Yarrowia lipolytica: one gene and its partner. The protein of the gene in region 1 interacts with the protein of each later gene in a pairwise test. Links are inferred from orthologs where the notes say so. Each region holds a gene or a part of one and is shown in the gene's direction. Other genes may lie near its edges.

Evidence for each region. The genes of interacting proteins can lie anywhere in the genome.
Region 2: the proteins of YALI1_F01897g (region 1) and YALI1_B09279g interact in a protein complementation assay, tested with the Saccharomyces cerevisiae proteins (2 studies listed by BioGRID). The link is inferred for Yarrowia lipolytica from reciprocal best matches to the Saccharomyces cerevisiae genes SEY1 and GOT1.

What each region holds. Positions count from the first base shown.
Region 1 is NC_090775.1:185,915-191,527, reverse strand, and holds YALI1_F01897g (uncharacterized protein), read left to right. Parts: upstream 1-1,803; coding exon 1,804-5,094; downstream 5,095-5,613. Other genes in the region: YALI1_F01929g (uncharacterized protein), read left to right, coding at 1-439; YALI1_F01849g (uncharacterized protein), read right to left, coding at 5,598-5,613. UniProt on the Saccharomyces cerevisiae protein: Cooperates with the reticulon proteins RTN1 and RTN2 and the tubule-shaping DP1 family protein YOP1 to generate and maintain the structure of the tubular endoplasmic reticulum network. Has GTPase activity, which is required for its function in ER organization.
Region 2 is NC_090771.1:927,164-930,522, reverse strand, and holds YALI1_B09279g (uncharacterized protein), read left to right. Parts: upstream 1-1,828; coding exon 1,829-1,847; intron 1,848-1,923; coding exon 1,924-1,950; intron 1,951-2,205; coding exon 2,206-2,270; intron 2,271-2,528; coding exon 2,529-2,831; downstream 2,832-3,359. Other genes in the region: YALI1_B09299g (uncharacterized protein), read right to left, coding at 1-568.

The sequences.
Region 1 (5,613 bases):
GATTCTGCGTGACTCTGAGCCGGAACTGGCCCTACAGTGCGTACGGGAATACCAGCAGTTTATGGCTCGAGGAGGAGTTTCACCCGACCAGCATGTTATTGACTCATTTGCAGAGACGCAGGTTCATTTGGTACTCAACAGTAACCGTCCTAATGCCACAAGAGAGGCGCTAGCTCTTATTCAAGAGTGGGTAGCCTTTGATGGCACAGATCTACGCACTCTTAGTATTTCTGTAGAGGAGAGACCCAGCAGAGAGAGCCGTATGCGGATGTTGTTCAATGTGATCGGCAACTGTGAGAGAACGAAGAATCCCACTGCAAACACAAGGGGCAAAACCAGAGGTAAAGGTAGAGACAAACCCGTGTACGAGGCGGCTTGGGAGCATTTGAAAAAGGACGGACTGGGCGATTCCACCATCGACTTTGTCCTCAAACATTGATTGGAGGAATCGATGCTGTATATACTATTTATATAGGTAACAAGTAGATACCGGGTAAGGAGAGTCGGGACGTTTGTGAGACAAGGTGGTAGTCATCCAAAGGGTGTGGAGATCACAGCATTTTATAAAGGTGCTGTAAAGTGTGTTGTTGTGTGTTGTAGTGCTCAGCTATGTTGAGGTGGAGTTCTTAACTACACCAGGTAGTTTTAGTTGAGATCTCAAATAATAATAGTTATGGAAACTGAAAAGTCGTAATACCGGGTATTTCGAGCCATATTACGCACCCTGCCGTAAGCTGTAGCATTCTATTAGTCTGAAATATTGTCCACTTAACTCTCCACTAAATGTTTGTCGATTATAGCGTCGTTGATATGTTAATTGCTGCAAAAACAAGATGTTACTGGAAAAACTGTGACAATTACGGCATAGAATGATAGAGAGGATTCTGTTCTAACGTGTGACTTTTTAAAAAATTTCAATCCGGTCATGTAATGCTGCCAAAATCCCATTTTAAAAATTTACACACGTGACTTATATGGTCTAATATAAGGGTTCAACGCCGTTTTTTTTGTAACGGTTGCGGCCATATCCTGGTGAAAATACGGCTTCCCGTCCGATTAGCCATAGTCAAGCACCAGAGAGCCTAGTTAGTATTGTAGTGGGAGACCATACGAGAATCCTGGGTGCTGCAATCTTTTTTGATGAAGCCCTTGGGCAGAACAAATAACAAATGTGTTGTATGCCCACCTGCACTGCATCGTACGAGTACAGTACATACCCCCTTTTGTTGAGACTCGTTGATCATTGCATTTCTTTTGTCTCTAAATGAGCCAGAGGCTCAGCTCGTACCCAATCATCCATTTATAGCAATCTACAAGTACAGTATACTGTTTCGTCAAATTGTCTCACATATGGTTGGGTCTCATTTCGTCCCGTTTTTAGACTGTGCGCTGTTCAGATGTTTTGGGGAACCATGACACCCGTGACTTGCCAGAGTGGTTCACTGGATGTAGTGTGGGTCCTCTGTTACACAAACACAATGCCTGAACCTATATAAGTGTGCACAGCCACCTTTCAAACTGCTCCTGAGCCCCGCTATGCCTCCTATTCACTCACTTACATCTGACACCTTTCACGTATCAAACTGGCGCCGCGTCTAAAGTTCTTGGACGTTGCTTGTTAGTGGTATGTGCTCACACCAGTATGTACAGTAAGTAGGTTGAGACTGAGCTACAAGTACGAGGGAATGTTGCGGCGATTGTCGAGTATGAGAGAAAGGGAAATGTAGGGTCACGTGATTTCCCCATGACGCCACGTGAAGCCACGTGATTGGCGTTGCTGCTCCGGCTATTAATCACATTCACATGGTGCTGTATTTCTTTCCCCCTCTCCCTTCATACCCCTACAGCTACCTGCACATTGCACGTGCTGCTCAACTTTATTGCTCTATGGTGAACGTGTTCCAACTCGAGCTACACAGCACCCCACACAAGACAACAACAGCCAACATGGACGACTTTTCTTCGTCTCGAAAAGAGATCGAGGACGCCTTTTCGTTCGAGGGCGATAAGACCGATAGACTGGCTTCATCGCTCAATGATTCGCCCGAAGAAAAGATGATCCGAAACCATCTCGATTCCGTGCCTCCCCCCAACCCCTTCACGGTGCCGCCTCCCATGGCGTTTGACGAGAAGTCGTTTGAGAAGGAGCGATCGTTTGATCGATCGTCAGCTGCGGCGAGTCCATCTGCAAGCACGTTCCGTCAATCTGACTCGTTCGAGCCTCTCCTCACCAAAGACGATATTCTCGGAAGAAGCAGCAGTGAGAGTGTCAACAAGATGACTTCCCAGTCCCATGGAGCACCCCCTGTGCCCTCGTCTCGACCTCCGGCCTCTCGAGTTCCCGTCTCCGGCTACGACTCTCATGACAGCCACTCTGTCAGCTCGTCTCACTCGTCCCACTCACCCGTCACCACCCACCACCACCCTGCTCCTCCTCCTCCCGCCTCTAGACCCGTGAGAGAGTCTGGCGTGGCTCCTGTGACCGCCCCTGAACCAATTGCCGCCCCTGAACCAATTGCTGCCCCTGAACCCATTCCTGCTCCGGAGCCAATTGCCGCCCCTGTTCCTGAGGGACTCAAGTCCGAGCACAAGCCCGTGGAGAGAGAGCACAAGCCTGTTGAACGAAAGCCCGTGTCTTCTCCCGCTGAGAAGTCCATTCCCGCTTCCTCCCCCGTTCACAAGGCTGCTCCCACTCCTGCTGCCTCCCACGCAGTTCCTACCTCCCAGAAGTCTGCCAAGTCGACACCTGGCTCTTACGCCGGTATTCCCTCGCTCCAACTCATTGACGGAAATAAGGAGTTCAACCCAGACGTCTCCTCTTACTTCAAAAAGGTGCATCTTGACCGTGCTGGTCTTGACTACCATGTAGTTGCCGTCTTCGGTTCCCAGTCCACCGGTAAATCGACTCTCCTCAATGCCCTGTTTGGCACCCAGTTCGACGTCATGAATGAAACCGCTCGTCAACAGACCACAAAGGGTATCTGGATGGCCCGTGCTCAGCTCGAGGCTCCCCACTCAGCCAACTCGGCTCACAGCCAGGATTGTTCCGACTCGGGAGTGCTTGTGATGGACGTCGAGGGAACTGATGGTAGAGAACGAGGTGAGGACCAGGACTTTGAGCGAAAATCGGCTCTGTTCGCTCTCGCCACCTCCGAAGTGCTCATTGTCAACATCTGGGAACATCAGATTGGTCTCTACCAGGGCGCCAACATGGGACTGCTCAAGACTGTGTTTGAGGTCAACCTCAACCTGTTTGCCACCTCTCAGAACAGGTCGCTAATCATGTTTGTCATCAGAGACCACATTGGAGCTACTCCTCTAGCCAACCTGTCTACAACCCTCAAGACGGATATGGGTAAGCTTTGGGACTCTATTAACAAGCCCGAAGGTCTGGAGCATGCCAAACTAGAGGACTTCTTTGATTTGCAGTTCACAGCTCTACCTCACAAGCTTCTGCAGCCCAACGAGTTCTACGCCGACGTGGAGCAGCTGGCATGTCGATTCACTGTGCCCAAGGACCCCAACTATGTCTTCAAGCCCGTTTACCACCGAAACGTGCCTCTGGACGGATGGTCTTTCTACGCCGAGCAGGTCTGGGACCAGATTGAGCAGAACAAGGATCTGGATCTGCCCACGCAGCAGATTCTGGTTGCGCGGTTCCGATGCGACGAAATCGCTGCCGGCGCGCTCGATATCTTCCTTTCTCTGCTAGTCAAAATCCGAGATCAGCTTTCTGGTGGCGCTGTGGCCTCTGCGGTGCTCGGAGGGCTCATGGGAGAGGCTCGAAAACAAACAGTGGACGAGTATGACTCCCAGGCGTCTCGATACACTCCCTCGGTGTATTCCGCGACTCTTGAAAAGCTGGAGGACCGCGTCGACAACGACTTGGGCAAGGTGTATCAGTCGTATCTCGCCCAGCTGAAGCGTGAATCTCTGGAACAGTTCAACGCCGCTCTGGAGTCCTCTTCTGCTCTCACTTTTGGCGAAAACCTCTCTCGAGCCTCCAAAGCTGCCCATGCTCATTTCATCGACAATGCCAAGCAGGTGACTGCTGCCATTGGCCAGCCCAATTCGTCGCACTTCTCGTATGACGACACACTGGCTGCTCTGGAACAGGAGCTGGACACTCTGCGTGACCACAAGAGCAAGGTTGAGATTGACCGGCTTATTTCGCGGTCTGCCAAACGGTTCAAGAGCTCGTTCCACGAGGAATTCGACGAGAATCTCAACAAGCCCGATGAGACAGTGTGGGACCGAATTCTGGAGTCCTTCGAAACGCTTCTGAATGCGTCCATCAAGAAGATTGACCCCAACTATTCGCCTTCCGCCCCCAGTGCGTTTTCTTTCGGCTTTGGTTCACCCAAAACTTCTGCCGAGGGTCTCAAACAGATCCAGCAGGAGGCCTGGGCTGTTTTCGGTGCTGAGCTCAAGGAACTTTCCAAGGAAGAGCAAGTTCTCAGCCGTCTCAAAAACAAGTTCAAGGAGTCCTTCCGATACGATGCCAATGGAGTACCCATTGTGTGGCGTCCTGGAGATGATATCGACGGCGCATTTGCCAAGTCGCGAGAGCAGGCTCTGGAAATTATGCCACTGTTGTCGACTGCAAAATTGAGCTCTGGGAAGTCTATTGAGCCTACTGTTGCTCTTGAGGATGACGAGGACGACGATGACGAGACTGCGTTTGCAGTGATTCTGACCCCAAAGAGACAGGCGTCGCTGATTGAAAAGTTTAAGAAGCAGGCTGAGGGTCTGTATCTTGAGGCCAAGCGGTCCACCATTCAGTCCACTACCCAGATTCCTCTTTACATGTATGGTCTGCTGCTTCTGTTGGGTTGGAACGAGATTATGGCTGTTTTGCGATCGCCAGTCTACTTCATGTTCCTTCTGGTGGCTGCTGGTGCCGCCTACGTCATCCACACATTGCATTTGTGGGGTCCTCTGACTCACATGACCAATACCATGATTGCCGAGGCCACGGACATGGCCAAGGCCAAGCTCAAGCAGGTACTGAACGAGGCTCCTACCGGCGAAACTAGGGAGCGAGAGGCTCCTGTGGGTTCGTCCAGAGATGATGTTGAGCTCAAGGACTTGTAAGTAGAGTAGATTTATTGTATTGCCAGATGGAATGATGAGTGCGAAGCACCAGCTGCTTTTGCACCTGTAGAGTCAATTGTACGACTGCAGAGTGTCGATGTGCTAAGTTGGAGAAATTGCAGAAACAGGACAGACTTGGCTGTATCGAGCTAAAGACTGTCTGCGTCTTCCACTTGTAGACACTGTCATATTGACACGACCAAGAGCATCGTCCGTTCAAGTTACTAAAAATACAAACGATCAATCGTTCTCACTAAGCCCTTAAACATCTTCTACACTTTATAACTATGAAGTCTACTGCCATCATTTGCTTGTTAATAGGGGATATATACTACTACAAGTAGTAGCACAAGTTCCTTGAAATGACGACAAGCCTACTTGTAGTTTGATAGCTTGTGCAATAGTCATCCCGCGCTGGTCGTGCTACGCACTCGAAGCACACCCATTTTCGAAGTTTTCCGAGTCCCAGGCTTCTCGCACTGCGTAAAACATAACGCGCTTCATTAATCATCGTCATCG
Region 2 (3,359 bases), on another chromosome or scaffold:
CCCCTTCAACGGTGCTGGGAAACGGCATTCCGGGCTCCCATCCAGCGTCGGTAGCAAAAGCGTGCCACAGATTAGTGCTAGGAAGACCCATCTTGAGAGCCACCTCACAGGCGGCTTCGGAGTACCTCTTTTGCAGCTGTGACGACCGCGGGTTCACGCCCGGCTCGTCCTTGAACATTTCTCTTCGAGCCAGTTCGTCGTGGGGCGCGGGACCCGTGAGGATCACCTTGATACCGCGGTCCACCGCCTGCTGAGCCAGCTTCTCCAGATTGGCCTTGTATCGGTCGAGAGGAACATGTTGTTCGTTGGTGGCGCTGTCGTTGGACCCGAAGAAAATCACCACCAGCTTGATTCCCTTTTCATGCTCCAAAATGTGGTGGAAAAACTGGACCGCCTGGTCCGTGTTGTAGCCCGAGTATCCTCTGACGAGAATGTCCATTTTGCGCTGGTACAGATGTTGAAGGGCCGGGGCGAGTGCAAAGGTGAGATCCTGGTCGCTTGAGTACTGCGTAATTGAGTCTCCAAACAGGAGAATCTTGTCCATATCCGGATTCATGGGTGGAGTCATTATGGTTGGTTGAATGAGTGTGATGGAAAAGACATGATGCGCAATGGATGGGCACTAACTGCAGTACGAGTACGGTATCGTACAATGCTTGTGGGTGTATAATGGTAGGAAAATCAAGAGACAAAGAGAGTAATGGCCGCCTGAGATGGTTTTTGTGATGTTTTGCGGGCAAATCGGCCCTTTCGGCTATTTTATCGCCGATATATTCAGCGTGTTGAAGTTATTAATAATTAGTTGGGATACTAATGCTACTGTTAAGTAATATTGTTAAGTATGTGTAGGATCTACGGTCAGCCATTCAGGAAAAGAGATGAACAGAAACAGCAGACTTCAGACTCTTGAGGGTCTTTCTGGATTGGGTGTGATGCGAGGTGTCTATCCAACAAGTACAGTAAAGTACAGTACCGGTGGTTCAACACTTCTCCATCTTGACGTTGGTGTTTTTTTCATTATATATATATCTCTCACTTTTTCTTTCTTTTTTTATTATTTTTTTTTCAATTTTTTTTTTCATTTTTCATTTTTCATTTTTCATTTTTCATTTTCATTTTTCATTTTCATTTTTCATTTTCATTTTTCATTTTCATTTTTCATTTTCATTTTTCATTTTTCACTCTACATGCCATCCCCTATCAACAGCTCAGGCATGGTCTGACCATCACAGGTTGTCACACACCCACCCAAATCCACCCAATCCAACCAAAATATACCAATTAAATCCATTTGTGTGTGTTTCCCATCCCTCCCCCTCTCATTCCCTTCCTCTCTCATTCCCTTCCGGGTCCTTCGCGACTAAAAAAGCTCGAAACACGGTACACATCCGCCCACTCTCTCACATTCGCGCTCGCAATGATCCACTTGACAGACGGCTTTTAAGCTTGAACAACGTCTGGCAGGTGGACCTCACAGTAGCTTGTAATGATAATTGATGGGGGTAAGGCTGTGCAAGAGTCGTGCTATTTATACACTGTGGGAGAGTATGATGATCGTTATACGATGCTTGCACGATACGTACATACTGTAGTTGGTACTGTAGCTGTAGCTGTGCTTGTGACACGTCATATATATCTCCTGTGACCTTCTGCCACCTTCTTCTCCCACATCTTCTCCTTTATTTGCCCATTACCACGTGCATTGTGTCACCGGGAACCATCATCGCCTGACGCTGGTGCGCACTGTCATCCCACCCGACTTTTTGAATTTTGGACTTGTGATCTTATCTCACACATTTTGGCACCAGAAAAAAATACCACCAACACAATGTTCAGCGACATGCAAAGTGAGTATGCCGAAGGACGGGGAGGATGGACGGTGCCGGTGGTGCATCGAGGCGACTCGAACAGGAATTAACACAGAATATGGCGCGGCCTTCACGGCTGGAGGTGAGTGATGAGGTGATGAGGTGATGAGACGCGTTACGCGGTGCAGTGAAACGACAGAAACGTGTGACGCGGGCGAGATACGAGATATGAGACTGGAAAAGGGATGGAACCATAACACGCACACAGACACACAATCTACGACTGAAGCACTCGACCTATGTTGGGACACTCGATCTACGACTCACTCGATCTACGACACATTCGTCAGTCGATATACAACGTGATCTCCACACCGTTTTGAATACACTAACAAAGGCATCTTCTTCATCTTTCTGGGAATCATGACCTTCTTCGATTCCGCTCTTATGGCGTTTGGAAACGTAAGTATAGTGGATTTTGGTTACAGTGATCCATGCTGAGAGTGCCGATTCAAGCTATGGACCGGGTCATCTTGAGACAAGTTCTGGATCTCCAGCTCTGTGGATCCAGGTAGTCTCTAGCTCTTGATCTCCAAATACTCTTGACACTCTCAAGCTGGATCTGGCTCTCACACTCTGGATCCCATCTCTGGATCTCCAGTTACCATGCGCTACTGTAGAGACAAGCTCCCCCATCCTCTACACCCATGACTAACCCAGATTCTCTTTCTGATCGGAATCACCCTGCTGATCGGACCCCAGAAAACGCTGGCGTTCTTTGCGAGACGCCAGAAGCTGCGAGGATCGATAGCGTTTGGGCTGGGAATTTTCCTCATTCTCATCAAACGGCCCTTCATTGGCTTTGCTATCGAGCTGGTGGGCATTCTGGCGCTATTTGGCGACTTTTTCGCCGTCATTGTCGCGTTTCTACGGTCCATGCCCGTCATTGGGCCTATTCTCCGCCACCCCGCCGTGGCTCCCGTCATTGACCGACTTGCTGGAGTCCGAATTCTCCCCGTCTAAGTTGCCATACCGGACTCGGTATACGGGGTATTGGGTGGATCCAGGTCAAGTAGTTGCATAGATGTATAGATATGGTGCTTGTTCGTAGAGGCCGGTGTCGTTTGCCTTGGATCTCTTATTATGACGTAGATATTATCTCCATATTACCCTCTCCAAATTCCGTTGCTGATCTCGTCATCGCCAATTGAGTTAATTACTACCTTGCGCAGTGGCAATCGAGCACTACGCGGATGGGGAAGAGCATTGGAAACGGAGATGGTCACGTGAAGGGGGCCGGTGTGCTACGACCAGCAATTACATTACACGGTACTGTTAGTTACAAGTACCAGTACAATTGTACCTGTATTGCACTGTATGTACTGTAATACAGTGACTACAACGTCACCTCTCCTACAAAGGACACGTGACGTGAAGAGGACAAGCGGGACCAGATGTCAACTGTATGGAGTCTGGATCATTTCTGCAGGTTCAATTGCAACTGTCGCCTGTCCTCCCGCTCGCATGTCCCACCCTCCACATGTCGTCAGT